Linked DNA regions of Caenorhabditis elegans. The protein of the gene in region 3 interacts with the protein of the main gene of each other region in a pairwise test. Each region holds a gene or a part of one and is shown on either strand. Other genes may lie near its edges.

Region 1 (4,905 bases), 560 kb from region 3:
CTAACTGCTTCACATACAAACTAAAAAATTCAGTAAAAATAGCCAATATTTCAGTTTAGTCTCATCTCCTATCATTGCCCAATCTGCTCCTGTTCCAATTCCTGTCAATTATGATAATATTCCTGGTAATGCTAATTATATTCAACACACTCGTCAAGCTCCACGTCAAATCCACGTGGACTCATCACCAAGAGATTCTGAAATATCTCGTGTCATGGTTCCTGGTGATCAGGTCATGTTCTCTGCTGAAGATCGTTATTATACCTCGTCGACGGCTCCGGCAACTGCTCACCGACCTGATGCCTACAATGTTTCTCGATATTAATTTTTCTGTCTTTCACTTTTTCTGCTTGTATATTACGCTTGAATAAATATTTTGAGTCTTAAAATTATTGGCACTGAAACTACCGGTGTACAAGAAGTGTCTTACAGCTACAGCTAGTCTAGATTTCTGGTTTTAGTGGGGAATTTATTTAAACCACTTCTATAGTGATAACATTGTTAATTATCAATATCATAGTAAAGCTTTTCAGAAAAAAGTTGAATATGTTTATGCGCTGTCGAAAAGTGGTAAATTCTCATTTTCACACATCATAACTCTGCAAGTAGACAGAAAAATATGTTTTATACGAGTTTCCTATTTTTCTTATGCCTTTTTTTATTATAATATTGTAGGTTTTAGAGCATTCCACAATGCTATTCCCTGCGAAGGATAAAGTTGCAAAAATTTGACAATTTTCCATAACTTATTTTTTCAAAAAACCTAAAACGATTGTGGGACTTTTTAAACTGGTTTTACTCAACTTTTAAGCTAACCTAGCACTTTTTTATAATTAATTTCACTTCACAAAAACCATCAAGACATGTGCATTGCCTAATTTTAACTCATCCCGTTCTTCGAGCCACTCTCTTTTCCACATCTCTTCCGTCTCTTTTCATCTTTTTCCCAGAAACCGCGACGCGACCGCATTGCATTCTCTTTCCATTGCAAAAAGGACCGCTCGGCAAAACGAGAAAAGAAATAGAGAAAATAGTGAAGAGGGAGAAGCGAGACATAGCGGAGTAAGGCACGCAAATAGAATTCATTGCACCATGATTTCGGGCCCTCGACGGCTTTTTGTCGTGGCGAATATAGTTTTGTCTTAATCAATACCATCAAATTTATGATAATTTAATGATAATGTAGCCACATCCATCCTATTTTTGAGCATGTTCAACAGAATAACTTTGCAAAAAAGGCTTTTACTTTTATTTTTTATAAACGTTACTTATAAAATGTGTGAAACTCCGATCATTGCAAAACCTTAGGCAAATATAAATTAATAGTAATGGTAGTACGATATTTTGAATTACCTTATCAACATGTTTTTGGTTTAAAATCAAATTCTTTTTACATTGTGCTCGTTTCAATTGTGCCAAACTGTTGTCTAATTTGTTGTTTCAAATAAAAAATTAAAATCCAAAATCATGTAAATGATCTTGATCTTCCTATATATTTCTTACATTTCTAGGCATGTCCTTTAAGAATTTGGCTACTTCAAACTTATTTTTTTAATAGCAATGTTTCAGGAAAAATGTGCCTCTAAACCTCAAACAAACCGCCCATCTCTAATTGTTCTATTCAAATTCATTTTCTTCAACCCTCAGTCTTCTCTTCCTTTTTTTGCATAATTCGTCTTCTGATCTCAAAAAGAAACGCAATTTGAATGAGCACCATTGCTGGAGAATCGTCTTCCTCGTCGAAAATGCCAGAAAACTCTCAGCCAACAACAACCGAAAAAGGGTATTTGTACATTTTACATTACAAAGGGTTACACTACATTATTTCAGATCGGAATATTTAGAACAATTGGCAAATGAAGCCGAAGAGCTTAGAAAGAAATTGGATCAAGAGAGGCACAAGCTTAATGACATTCCTAGTAAGTATTTGAAAAAAATTAAAAAGATAATTTATTAGAATACTTCAATTTAAAAAGAGGGACTTTGAAGAAGAACACTACTAAAAAATTGAACTTTACAATTCCTAGGTTAGAAATCCTCCGGAGTCTTTTTTCTTTGTTTTTTTATTGAAAAAATAAACTTTTGAATTAAAAGCTCACAATCAGTGAGGATATTGAATAAAAATATCAATGCGGTTCTTCATAACCGAATATTATAATTGCCCAAATATCAATACACACCAAAAATTACGTCTAAGTTTTGGTAAATTGTCAAATCTAGGTGAAGTTGGACTTTTTGAGAACTTGTTTGACTGAAAAAAGTTGAAAAAAGTTTTTGAAAACTTTAAAGAAATTTGAGTTAAATAATTTGATGAACAAAAAGATACCAGATATGCTTTGTGATATTTGCATAATTCTAAATGTTTTCTCTTTGACTTTTTTGAGGTTATGCCTAATTTACTATTACCAAGAACTACAGTAATCCCAAAACGCACTAAGTAGTTTTTTACATCCTAAGTAATTTTCAGTTCAACAAGCAGCCGAACGACTTGACGTTATGGGAGCTCTTGGTGTAAAACAGCGTCGAATTTTAAAAGGACACGTGGGAAAAGTATTATGCATGGATTGGTCATTGGATAAAAGACATATCGTCTCTTCATCTCAGGTTGGTTTAAAATATGACTTACAAAAGATTCAGTAGTCTTCAAAAATTGAAACCTCGATTTCTAAAATGAATTTGCTCAAATTAGTAAATTTTAGGACGGGAAAGTGATTGTATGGGATGGATTTACTACGAATAAGGAACATGCTCTTACGATGCCAACAACTTGGGTTATGGCATGTGCATTCTCTCCATCGAGTCAAATGATCGCTTGCGGGTAAGATTTCTTTCAAATACTTCAAAGCTTTCAAAAAATACAAACGGTAGTACACGGACTTATAGTGTTCATGAGAATTTATTGTTTTTTTTTTCAAATTATAAAAGAGCTCTTACAGACGGAATTTTCAAAAATTGGCTCATGTATACTTTACCAATTTTGAAGCTTTCATGTTATTAATTAAAAATTTTTATTATTATTTTTTGAATTTTCAAAAATTCCAATTTTACAGAGGACTTGATAATAAATGCAGTGTCGTTCCACTTTCTTTTGAAGATGATATAATTCAAAAGAAAAGACAAGTAGCAACTCATACTTCTTATATGTCATGTTGTACATTCCTTCGTTCGGATAATCTTATTTTAACTGGAAGTGGAGATTCAACATGTGCTATTTGGGATGTTGAAAGTGGACAACTTATTCAGGTTTTTTATTCTCGCGAATCGGAAACCCAATTCAAAAATTCAGAATTTCCATGGTCATACTGGTGATGTATTTGCAATCGATGTTCCAAAATGTGATACTGGAAATACATTTATTTCCGCAGGAGCTGACAAACATTCTCTTGTATGGGATATTCGTTCAGGACAATGTGTACAATCATTTGAAGGACATGAAGCTGATATTAATACTGTTCGATTTCATCCAAATGGTGATGCATTTGCAACTGGATCTGATGATGCTACTGTAAGTCACAAGTGTTTAAACTTCTTCATTATTGAAAATTGGAGAAGGGATGGGAAATTATGGAAGCCTTGCACGACCATGTGTCGAATTACGCAGCTAGTGTACTCCTCGAGAAGAAGTGACAATATGCCCACTTCTCCTCGGGGAGTACACGAGCTGCGTAAATCGACACATGGCCGTGCAAGAGAATCTTAATTAAATTTCACGGTTATTCTTCCATTTTTCGAAAATTATAGTTTGGGAGAAAGTCGCGAGAGTTGCTTGTTTTGTCTGAAAATATTACTTTTTCCAGTGTCGCTTATTCGATCTTCGAGCAGATCGTCAAGTATGTGTGTATGAAAAAGAATCAATCTTGTTCCCCGTAAATGGAGTCGATTTCAGTTTGAGCGGTACGTTTAAATCTTCACAAAAACGTATAGTCCAAATCAATTCAATGCATCTCTGAAATTCACAGAACTAAACTTTTCACTCTAACTATTAAAAAATTACAGGTCGTATTCTATTTGCTGGTTATGGTGATTATCGTGTCGGTGTATGGGATTCGCTGAAATGCGCCCGTCATTCAGTACTTTATGGACATGAGAATCGTATTAGTTGCCTCCGAACTTCTCCTGATGGAACAGCCGTCTGCTCGGCGAGCTGGGATTGCACAATTCGCATTTGGGCTTGATTATTTAATATTAATTTTTCTCTTACAATTTTTGAGCTTTATGTCACTTTACTCATCCCCCTTCCCACCAGTCTCTATCCCTGTACTATTATCTAACCATCCCACTATTTTCTCCTATCTCAACTTTCTAGTCACAAATACTGTAAAGTACTCGTTCATTGCTGAATGATGTAAATAGAATTCACTAAATACACCTGTTAAAATACAATTCAAAAAGGCAAGGGTGAACTGTGAGGAAAGGAAAATTACATAACAAAAAAGAAAGAAGTGTGGAAAGTAGAGTATTCAATGAGCAACGTATGGCAAATTATCAGAGAATATTAAAAGGAAGAAATTCAGTGAATTGGTTATAAAGAGAAAAGTGGAAATTTTGATAAAACTGTTGCCCCGAAGATTTGATGAAGAAATGTGAAAATTATAAGTCAAATACTTATGCGCAGCAGAAGCATCTGACGCAGTTGATGATGATCGAGAGAATCGTGCAGACGGCAAGGAAGAGAAGAAGAACAGTAACCCAATCCTGAAAGAAACAAATTTAGAAATTAACATATTTAAATTTCAGCAGATCTTTTGAAAAATGAATTATTACCTGAAGACGGAAGCAACACTGATCAGCAATCTGTCCGCAGCACTTGAAGTACCAGAAAACGTTCTCTTCTGGGCAAGCTTGTCCGACAACTGGAAGTGGGCATGCCAATGGACTCCTTCTGATCGTGAGTGGCTCAATCGA
Region 2 (7,158 bases), on a different chromosome or scaffold from region 3:
ATGCGTGTCTGTTTCTCTGGGCTGTGTGTTGCTTAGTCGAATCGACTGATTGCCTGACACAATCCGCTTATTTTTTCTTTTTTTTCCCTTCTAGTCCAGAACGTTTCGCCGCTTTTTCATTTCCTGTGCCCATTCACATTTTAGACCCAAACACCAGCCATTAAGCCGTCTTGCGTCCTGCCACGTCACATCAAAGCCATTAATCTTCGATGGCAGTCTGGCTCGGTCAAAATTGGCCTATTTTTGTCTGAGAACTTTGTACAATTTTATTGGTTAAAAATGCTCGCACCACCTGCTGGAGGGCACCAGATGTCCCCTCGCCCAAAGCAATTAGAATTCTGCATTTAGCAAACAAAAGTTGAATCAATAATTCGCAGATCCAATGGTAGGAGAGAGAAAGAGTGAGCCGCGCCTTCTTCGCACAGATATATATTAGCTTTTGTCACGTTTTGCGCTCCTACCTGGGAGAGCCCAAGGTATTTGAACACGGAGAGCAATATGTTCCCTCAAAACTCAAATACCTGTGCCCCATCATTTCCTTCCTTAATTCCCTCATTTCATTCGACATTTGTGGTATTCAGTTTCTTTTCTTTCTTTTTTGTCATTGTTTTGTTCTTCCGCGCCACACACACACACACAGACCAACACTTTTACATTTTTTCCCGCCCGCTCCCCTTTTCCATCCCGCTTGGTCTGCGTCTCAAGGTTTGGTTTCTTTCTCGTACAGTGTTCCGCTCTCACGCCAGTTTCTGAATCGATCTATTGATTTTTTGAAAGTTAAAAATTTTGCTTAAAATTTCTGAAGCTTATGATTTTGGTTTGCAGACCGTCATTCTGTACTTCCTGATCAGCAGCTTGGTCTCACCGTCTTTGCCAAGTTGACGTCGGTCGAGGGGTTTTAATTAAAAGGGTTAGTGATATAGATTTCTTTCTAGTAGGTTTTTCATGTTTTGATCAAAAACATACCTTTAGTTTATTCTTATTTTATTATCTCACCTATAGGGATCCCTAGAGCTAATAATCTACTTCCAAAGTTCCTCTCTAAAGAATTAAATATTTTCCCGTCTAGTTATCGATTTTAGAATCGAACTATTTTATTAGATAAGTAAGACCAAAATGTGTTGTTTTTTCAAATATAGAATTCTGGAATCACTTATTTTTAAATTGAAAAAAATCCATTTTTTTCAAATTTTTGATTTTTACATAAATTACTTGATTACAATGAAACAATCAATAATTTTCTTCATTTTTTGATTGGTTTTCGCATTGAATATTCAATTTAAAACTTATTAATTAATTAATTAAATAAAAACAAAAAACATTGCGCGGCAATTAGCATGTGCTGGCCTACCGTAGTTTCTGCAAACACCGTGACGTCAATATGCACACTGTTGTTTTTCTTTGATTTTCTTTCCTTTTTTGACCTTTTTATCTTATTTTTTCTTATTTTCTCCACAGAAAATCTCTAAAAGCTTCGAAAACTTGAATTATTTTAACGATAAATTTAATTCCTTCATGAAAATAATCAAATTCTTGGAAAAAATCGATTTTTTCTGCTATTTCCTTCAAACTCTTTTTTTCTATCCAATAATTCTTAATTCACGCTTTTTTTTGCAGGCCCAGTTGTCGAGTGCAAGAACAAAGGCCACGAAGACGACGAATAGAGCAGCGCCGCCGTCGAAAACGCGAACACCGACCAGGAGCAGCATTAGCCGCAGCCGCATCCGTCGACACTTCCATCAGTACCATCCTCCGGAGCACGCACCACCACCAGCAGCAAGATGAGCGAACTTGACCAACTTCGACAGGAGGCTGAACAGCTGAAGTCGCAGATTCGGGTGAGTAAATCTGTGTTTTTTTTTATTTTTTAAAATATTTTTTAAACTAATAATTGCAGTAATCTCTCGTTCCAGAGCATGGTCTAGCAATTGTTTGAATATGCGAAATATGAGAAATACACGCATTTATATATTTATACACACACATATACACACATACATATACAAATTGTTGGTAATAAGTAAAGCGCTCCCCTTCCAACGATGCCGCCGCCGCCGCCATCGGCGTTGTTTTTGCGCCGTACTTGAGGGGACGTGCTGCTGCACTGGATGTGTATAACACGATGGTCGTCGTCCCCCAGCCGTCGTCGTCTTCTTTTCTTCTTCTTCTACCCGCCATCGCCGCTGCAAAATATCGATCAGTAGCAGAAGTTGTTGCTCCACACACGCAGGCCGCGGCGAGCCATTGGCCGAGATGGGGTCGCCCCTGGTGGGGGCACTGAGACGAGGAGAAGCTGGAGCAGCAGCAGAAGCAGCGAGCGAGCGAGGAGAATAGATTGGCTGCCTAATGTGAGATTGTCGGCGTCTCCGGCTCTTGTTCCACTATTTTCCCGGGGCCCCGCCGCCGAATGCTCTCAATTTCTGCCGCTACTGCTGGCCAAGAGCACGAGAGAGAGAGAGAGAGATCTCTCGCAGTCTCTCTTCTGCGCAAGCTCCACTCGTGTCGTAGTGCGCCATTCTCCCTTGAGGACTCTGCTGCCGTCGTCGTCGTCGTTGTCGTTGTCATCGCGTCGCTCACTAGAATTGGTGGTAGCTCCTGCTCCGACGAGCACTCACACACACACACATGGTTGTGCGTGTGCGCGAGCACAAAATGTTGCGCGGGGTTTGGTGAAGCTCTCGTGGTGCTGAAAACGGGGTGAGCTGGCCTGGAGCGAGGAGGGGCAGCAGAGATAGAAAATACACTGAATTGGTGTTAATTAAATGCACAAAACATTTATGGAAGTGGAAGATTTTTCGCTTCAAAAATACAGTCCCCGGTCTCGAAGCGACAAATTTTTGTGAAAAGATTACTGTAATTTCAAATTCGGGAATTTTCAGCAATTTTCCATATTATGTGGACGTCTAAAAATGAGAGGTTCTGATCCCCCATGTCGATTTACGGGGCACTATTGCATCATCTCAAACTGTCCATTTAATGTGTTTAATGTATGCAAAAATATGTAATAACAGCCCGTAAATCGACAATTCGTGGCGAGACTCATGTGGCAAAAAACCTCATATATATCCGTCTAGATAATAGTTTTTCTCTCGATTTTATAAAAATTTATGTTTTTTAGTTGAAAACTATGAAAAATCGATGAAAATTCCTAGAGTGGAAATTACAGTAATTTTTATAAAAATTTAAGGCCCGAATTTACAGATTTTGAAGTAAAAAGTTGTAAAAACCAATAATTTGAAGTTTTTCATAATTAAAAAAAAAACAAAATAAATTAATTTTTTGCAGGAAGCCCGGAAATCAGCAAATGACACAACACTGGCCACCGTCGCTTCAAATCTGGAGCCAATTGGCCGCATTCAGATGAGGACGAGACGTACGCTTAGGGGACATTTAGCCAAGGTAGGGCTTTCAGACTTTTTCTAGTCATAAAATCGATAAATTTTGCAGATTTATGCAATGCACTGGGCATCAGACAGTCGCAATTTGGTGTCAGCTTCACAAGACGGAAAGCTCATCGTTTGGGACTCGTACACCACAAATAAAGTGAGTTTTTTTTGACGATTTTCAATTGTTTTTTTTTTGATAAAAAAAGAAAAAATTTAAAGAAATTAATTTGCATTTTTTTTCCAGGTTCATGCAATTCCCTTGAGATCATCGTGGGTGATGACTTGTGCCTATGCTCCATCGGGATCGTTTGTCGCTTGTGGAGGTAAGCTGAAGGATTACTCATTGTATTCAAATTTTCCGGAGAGATTACTGGGAAATCTGGGTTTCTATTGAGAATTTGAATCTCGTAAATCTACACGAGCAAAATTCAAATTTTTTAAAATAAAAAGTAACAATTCTCAATTTTTCCAGGTCTCGACAACATTTGCTCAATTTACTCGCTGAAAACACGCGAGGGAAACGTGCGGGTGTCTCGTGAGCTTCCAGGACATACTGGATACTTGTCGTGTTGTCGATTCCTTGATGACAACCAAATTGTCACCTCTTCCGGAGATATGACTTGGTGGGTTTTTTTTTTGAAAAATTTCATTTTTTTTAATTAAAGAAAAATCCTATAAAAAATCATAAATTATCAACTAGTTTCTACTTTTCATTTTTTTTTTTCCGCGTAATTTGAGCATCAGTGTATAGCCAGAGCACACAAAAGTAGAAGAAGTGCGAAGGAGAAATTCGGATGTTGAATGTTGATGAGTTTGTTTTCAAACTGGGCTCTTTTTGTGCCGCTTGATGAAATTGAGGTGGAGAGAAGCAAAGAACGTGTGAATAAAAGACAGAAAGAGCACAAAAGTCGGCCCGCGAAAAATGTAAATTTTCGGACTTCAAAATTTTACAAGTCTATTGTTAAATTGTGATCTCTAGACGTGTAGTTTGTACTTTGAAAAGTTTAAAAAAATTCCAGTTTGAAAATGTAAGAAAGATTTCAGATAACTTCCAAAATTTATCTCGTGATTCTGCAAAATTTCAGATTTTTTAAAGCCACACGCTATTTTCCGATTGGGTCTCGCCACGAAAAAAAAAGAAGTTTGTAAAGTTTCAAATTCTAAAGTGCAAATTGCATTTTAGAGTTTAAAATTTCATTTTCTACACCAAATTAACAAATCTGAGAAATTTGGCGCCTGTAGCGGCCACTATGATCGTGGCGAGACCCACTTTTCAAACCGGCATGTGCCTTTAACCTCTACCATATCATATAATATCACTTTTTCGTAAATTATCCTAATTCTCCAATTTTTTTTCCAGCGCTCTATGGGACATTGAAACCGGACAACAGTGCACCGCGTTCACCGGTCACACTGGTGACGTCATGTCGCTTTCACTTTCTCCAGACTTCCGCACATTCATCTCAGGAGCCTGTGACGCTTCGGCGAAGGTATAGGATTTTTGAAAAGTTGATTTTTTTTTAAATTTTTTAAATTTCAGTTGTGGGATATCCGAGACGGCATGTGCAAGCAAACGTTCCCAGGACACGAGTCAGACATCAACGCTGTTGCCGTAAGTTTTATTATTTTGAAGATTTTTCAAAAAAAAATCAATTTTTTGCAGTTCTTCCCATCCGGAAACGCGTTCGCCACCGGATCCGACGATGCGACATGCCGATTGTTCGACATTCGTGCTGATCAGGAACTTGCCATGTATTCTCATGATAATATTATTTGCGGAATCACTAGTGTCGCATTCTCAAAATCGGGTCGCCTGTTGTTCGCCGGATACGACGACTTCAACTGCAATGTTTGGGATTCGATGCGACAGGAGAGAGCTGGTGAGTGCCTTTAGCTCCTTTTTTTGAAATTTTCCAAGTTGAAAGTGATGAAAAACTAATTGTTCTTCCAATTTCAGGAGTATTGGCTGGTCACGATAACCGAGTTTCTTGTCTAGGAGTCACCGAGGACGGTATGGCCGTGTGCACAGGATCATGGGACTCGTTCCTCAAGATCTGGAATTAAGAAACATCAAATGTCTTCCTTAATTATTCTCCAATTATTGATTGAATGATGATGACACTACGTGGCAATTTTTTTCCCCATTTTCCCCAATTTTTTTCCGCTCTTGAAACCCCCCTGTTGTTCTCATTCTTTCGTCGCTATCCGCTATCCCGGCGCCCTCTTCCGCGTGCCCGGATCTCTTTTTCTTCTCTCACCTCTTCTCATCGCTTTTTGTTCGGTACTTTCTAGTCTCTCTTCAATCGCCCTCCCCATATTACTTTCCTTGACGTTTGTTCGAATTTTCTCATCAATTTTTTTTACTATGTGAAAATTATTATTATAGCAATTCTCAACTCTCTCTCTCTCATTTATTTTTATTTCACATTTTCTGTGTCTCCCCGCCCCCCGCGAAGCTTAATCTTTCTTCCTCTTTCACCACTCACTTTAGTCACAGACACATACACATGCGCGCGCTCTCTTTCTCTCCCCGATCGTATTCTACTAACATGATATTCATGCTACGACAAAAAATTTTATATATATGTAAGACAAATTTGTGCTCGGCGAGCAAGATATACAGTGATGGAGCCACGCGCGCGGAGTACAATTTTGAAATCGAAAAGCGAACGCCACGCGCATCACTAATCCTAAAACCCCCACATCAAGAAAAGCACAATATGAGATCCATTCTAATTATTATTTCCTCCCGATATATAATTATTTAAGCTTCTTTTTTTCTCTATTTCTGGTATCATCTTCTCTCATTTCTCGTCTTCTACACTAATTTAATTGACTCCCCCCACAAATCTTCACCTCTTTTTTTTGTCTTCTATGTATCCCATCGATCCCTTTCCAGACCGTTTTCAACTTTTTCACACACACAAAACCCCCTAAGTTTTTTTTTCTAATTTCTTTTAATTCTCCTACCACCGTGATTTTGTAAGTTCTTCCGATCGCAAAATTAAAGATAAAAAAGTTCTCATTTATTCGGATAGCTGCCACTTCTTTTCCTCTCTTCTCCCCCTCAACCCCCCACATCTGTTTAATCCATCACAATTCTTGAAAAATGAACATCCCCCATCCCCCCATCTCTTCTTTTCCCCAAAACACCCAAAAAATCTTATTTCCCTTTTTATTCTTTTTTATTGTTTCAATTTCCAAATTCTTATAAATTGCTGGAACCTTATAACCTCTTGTGAGCTCAGTTTTTCAGACATTTATTTCAAAATTATTATCATTGTTCTCCTAACGATTAGAAGGCCTTGTTGAACAGGAACGATTGGATGATGTGCTCGGCGACGGCTGGCTTGTCGGTTGGTACCATGTGTCCGGCTCCGCGAACAGTGGCGAATGTCACCTGGGATCCCTTGTACTGTGTCACGTATCCACCGATTTGACCCTTCACAGTGAAGTGGGTCTTCTTCTTGGAGAGCTGGAAATTAAATTATGGAATTTTTACAAAACATTAAAAATCTTGGGTCTCGCAGCGATTGAGAGCTTATTGTTTAAAAATACGGTACCCGGTGTCTCGACACGACAATTTTTATGAATGCAAAACGATGTGCGCCTTTAAAGAGTAATATTTTCAAAAAAATAATTTTCGATGAAAAATCCGCAGCAACGGAAGTTTGAAACTACAGTACTCTTTAAAGGCGCACAGCTTCGCTCATTCAACAAAAATTTATCGTGTCGAGACCCGGCGCCGTATTGTTTGGAAAAACTTTGGGTC
Region 3 (2,964 bases):
GAAATATTTCAAGAAATCAAACAAGACTTTTGTAGTATTACTCACCCGAACTATTGGCAATGGGGCTAAAAAATCACTGATATCTCGGCTCGTAACTGAGAATGGCAATCCTCTAAGCCTCACAATTGAGTCCGGCCCGCTACTCCGTGGTCCTCCACGATCGGAATATCGATCTCTTGGAGGTGCTCCGCGTGAACGATAATGGTCACGATCTCCACGATCTCCACGTTCACCTCGATCTCCACGCCTTGTTGGTGCTCCACCCGCAGGAAAAACCTCGATGTATCTGCAAACAGTTAATTCGTTAAAAGAAATATTTGAAAGTCAAACCTGCTTCCCAAGTGCTCTCGGTCTTTTTTCAAAGCATTGTTGTAGTCTTCTTCATTGGTAAAAACCACTTTCGCATCACCGCTGGTTCGACCGTTTCTCCTTGGAATTTCCAAGCTTTCGATTCCATTATCTTGAAGAAGATTTTTTTATAACGATTTAAAACACCACTCACTTCCGAAAAAATCTCTTAGCTCCTGTTCAGTGGCCTCCCATGGTAATCCACGACATTGAACTTCATACGCAGTAGACATTTCTGAAAGACAAAAACGGATTTTTCTGATTCTGTTCTTTTTTATCCGTCGAGATCAAATATACGTTTTTGTGGCAAAAATTACAAAAAACTAATACAATTTTCACATAAAAACCGAAAGAAAACAAAGTAACAAAACAAAAAATATTTTTCGATTTAAACTCTCGGCCGTGCATTTGCGCGTAGCGTCCGTTGCAGTGGTCGCAAACACCGATTGTTTACCGTACTACGAACAATAAATGATGCATTTTAATATTAATTTTTCTTTTGTTTCGAGGCTCTATGTACCACCGTTTTCTTATTCTTTTACAATGTATTTTTGAACAAAATTTTCACTTATTTTCTCATCTTCCATTAAATGCAAACAGTGAGTTTATTTGGTCTGAAAATGCTTTGCATCTCCAACGAGTAAGAAAAGCTGTTCTCTGTCTAGCAGCATCTTACAATTGTAAAACTGATGGTTGGCTATTTAAATGAAGTTTTAATTTTTTGGGCGATGAAAGTCTCATTTTGTTTTAGAACTGCAGGATATATTCACGGTTTTTCAAAGATCTGTCAATTGACTTGTCGATAACGAAAAAAATCTAAAATGCTGGCTTAATAATTTAATTTCTCACAGTGAACTTTAATATACATAAATCTTTTTCCGAATATAGTGCCATGATTTTCTGTCTGTCCTTTGTATATAAGCTCCACACTTTGAAAATATAACACCAATTAATGTCTTCATTCCCCTCCATTTCCGTCATCTTCCATATATTCTCACTTCAATTTCCATGTCTTCTTCGTCTTCTCAATTTTCCTTCGTAGGGCTTGTGTGTGAGGTTGTCTCGCGTAAATGTATGCGCCAGAGCGAGAGTGTGTGTGCCAATCGAAACAGCAGCAGCAGCACTCTGCCCTCTACAATGTCTCCATTTTCACTACACTCTTTCAAGTATTGATTTTCAAATGCGAAGCACAAAGCGAGGAGGAGCGCAGAGAAAAGACTGGCAGGGTCCCGCTGGTGCTCACTTCTTCTCTCATTTCTGTCTTTGCTCTGCTCTGCTACTCCTTTTATAGTACTCATTTTTTCCAATTCGACTGATATTGTCAATGTATAGTCAGAAACTTCGGTTTTCAATTGAATAAAATCCATGATTCGACTGTTTTTCAGTTAATTCAACCTAATTTAAACCTTTGCTTTTACCAAAAACCTCTTTTTTTCAAGTTAAATAATGTCAGTCGAACTTATTTATAGGCCAATTTTGAATGTTCTTAACAAGTTTAATTTATAACGTACACTTGCAACTACCCGTTTCTCATAACTTTCTGAATACTATTCGTTCTCCATGGTATTCGCAATAATTCGTATAATTTGGCTTTCAAATACTCTTTTTCAAACGATTCTCATTTCCGATTCAATAAAGAAATGTTTCAGACAAGATGGATAAATCTGACATGCAACGAACCGTCGACTCGCTTCGCAGCCAGCTCAATATTGAGCGTACTCCGATCACTGTTTCGGCAGCCGAGTAAGTTAACGAGATCAGAATGCCCAACTTTCAAAATTTTGTTTCTTTCAGACTTCGTCGCTTCACCGAAAGCCAAGAAGATCCACTTGTGAACCCAATCGACAAGAAGGTTAACCCATGGGCTGAGAAGAGCAAGTGCAGCATGCTCTAAATCATTTATTCATCCACCATCGCTTTCAAACCTCACTTTTGTCATCCATAATACTAATCCAAACGCCGATTTTGTCTTTACTATTCGTCCTATTTATATGATCCAATTTTCGCATTCTTCCAATTTTTTGTAAAATGAAAGCAAACTACTGTGAATAAACTATTCAGATATATACAATTGTAAATAATTTATCATTTGTTCAATTAACTTCGATTCAGAGATCTACATAATTACAACTCGTCATGAGAATAATATGGGTGCAGATGATCGGCTTCTTGAGCAGCTTCAGTTTTGGCAAAAAGAGCATGATGCTTCACAATTTCTTCATAAGACAATTGTCCATCTTTATCATCATCTGAATTTGTTAGAAGACTTTCAGCTTCATAAGATCCAGCTGTTGTTCCATCAACGAGAAGCCAATCGGTCAGCTCGTCGCCGGCCAGTTTTCCGTCTTTGTTTTTGTCATAAACTGTACGGAATCTAAAAATGGACACAAATTAGGAAAAAAAAAATTGAACGACTTTTCTCCGAAGCAGAATAGTTTAGAAATATATTATTTTAAAATATATTTTAAATAAATATTGATTCGAAAGTATTTATATATTGAAAAATGAGTTAGCCTATTTATAAAACCGTATTATTTCAAATAATTGTATTTTCTAAAGTTCTAAATTTTCTTAAACACATGTTTCTCAAATATTTTCAGTTTTGAATCCGCAAAA

What was found. Proteins that work in one complex are often made in the same cells at the same time.
Region 1: the proteins of gpc-2 (region 3) and gpb-2 interact in a two-hybrid assay, tested with the Caenorhabditis elegans proteins (one study listed by BioGRID).
Region 2: the proteins of gpc-2 (region 3) and gpb-1 interact in a two-hybrid assay, tested with the Caenorhabditis elegans proteins (one study listed by BioGRID).

Annotation. Positions count from the first base shown.
Region 1 is NC_003279.8:7,317,750-7,322,654, reverse strand, and holds gpb-2 (Guanine nucleotide-binding protein subunit beta-2), read left to right. Parts: upstream 1-1,569; 5' UTR 1,570-1,706; coding exon 1,707-1,783; intron 1,784-1,830; coding exon 1,831-1,919; intron 1,920-2,467; coding exon 2,468-2,604; intron 2,605-2,699; coding exon 2,700-2,818; intron 2,819-3,050; coding exon 3,051-3,243; intron 3,244-3,286; coding exon 3,287-3,505; intron 3,506-3,797; coding exon 3,798-3,894; intron 3,895-3,996; coding exon 3,997-4,175; 3' UTR 4,176-4,365; downstream 4,366-4,905. Other genes in the region: F52A8.3 (uncharacterized protein), read left to right, coding at 60-325; F52A8.1 (DUF2650 domain-containing protein), read right to left, coding at 4,606-4,695, 4,765-4,905. UniProt on the Caenorhabditis elegans protein: Guanine nucleotide-binding proteins (G proteins) are involved as a modulator or transducer in various transmembrane signaling systems.
Region 2 is NC_003280.10:11,742,271-11,749,428, reverse strand, and holds gpb-1 (Guanine nucleotide-binding protein subunit beta-1), read left to right. Parts: upstream 1-1,778; 5' UTR 1,779-1,781; coding exon 1,782-1,838; intron 1,839-2,368; exon of another isoform or gene 2,369-2,506; intron 2,507-3,285; coding exon 3,286-3,399; intron 3,400-3,447; coding exon 3,448-3,543; intron 3,544-3,630; coding exon 3,631-3,709; intron 3,710-3,858; coding exon 3,859-4,009; intron 4,010-4,746; coding exon 4,747-4,876; intron 4,877-4,926; coding exon 4,927-4,998; intron 4,999-5,049; coding exon 5,050-5,266; intron 5,267-5,343; coding exon 5,344-5,450; 3' UTR 5,451-6,618; downstream 6,619-7,158. Other genes in the region: Serine carboxypeptidase ctsa-1.2, read right to left, coding at 6,682-6,861.
Region 3 is NC_003279.8:6,755,766-6,758,729, forward strand, and holds gpc-2 (G protein gamma domain-containing protein), read left to right. Parts: upstream 1-1,997; 5' UTR 1,998-2,002; coding exon 2,003-2,091; intron 2,092-2,142; coding exon 2,143-2,242; 3' UTR 2,243-2,413; downstream 2,414-2,964. Other genes in the region: hrpf-1 (RRM domain-containing protein), read right to left, coding at 46-286, 331-460, 503-581; calu-2 (EF-hand domain-containing protein), read right to left, coding at 2,473-2,722.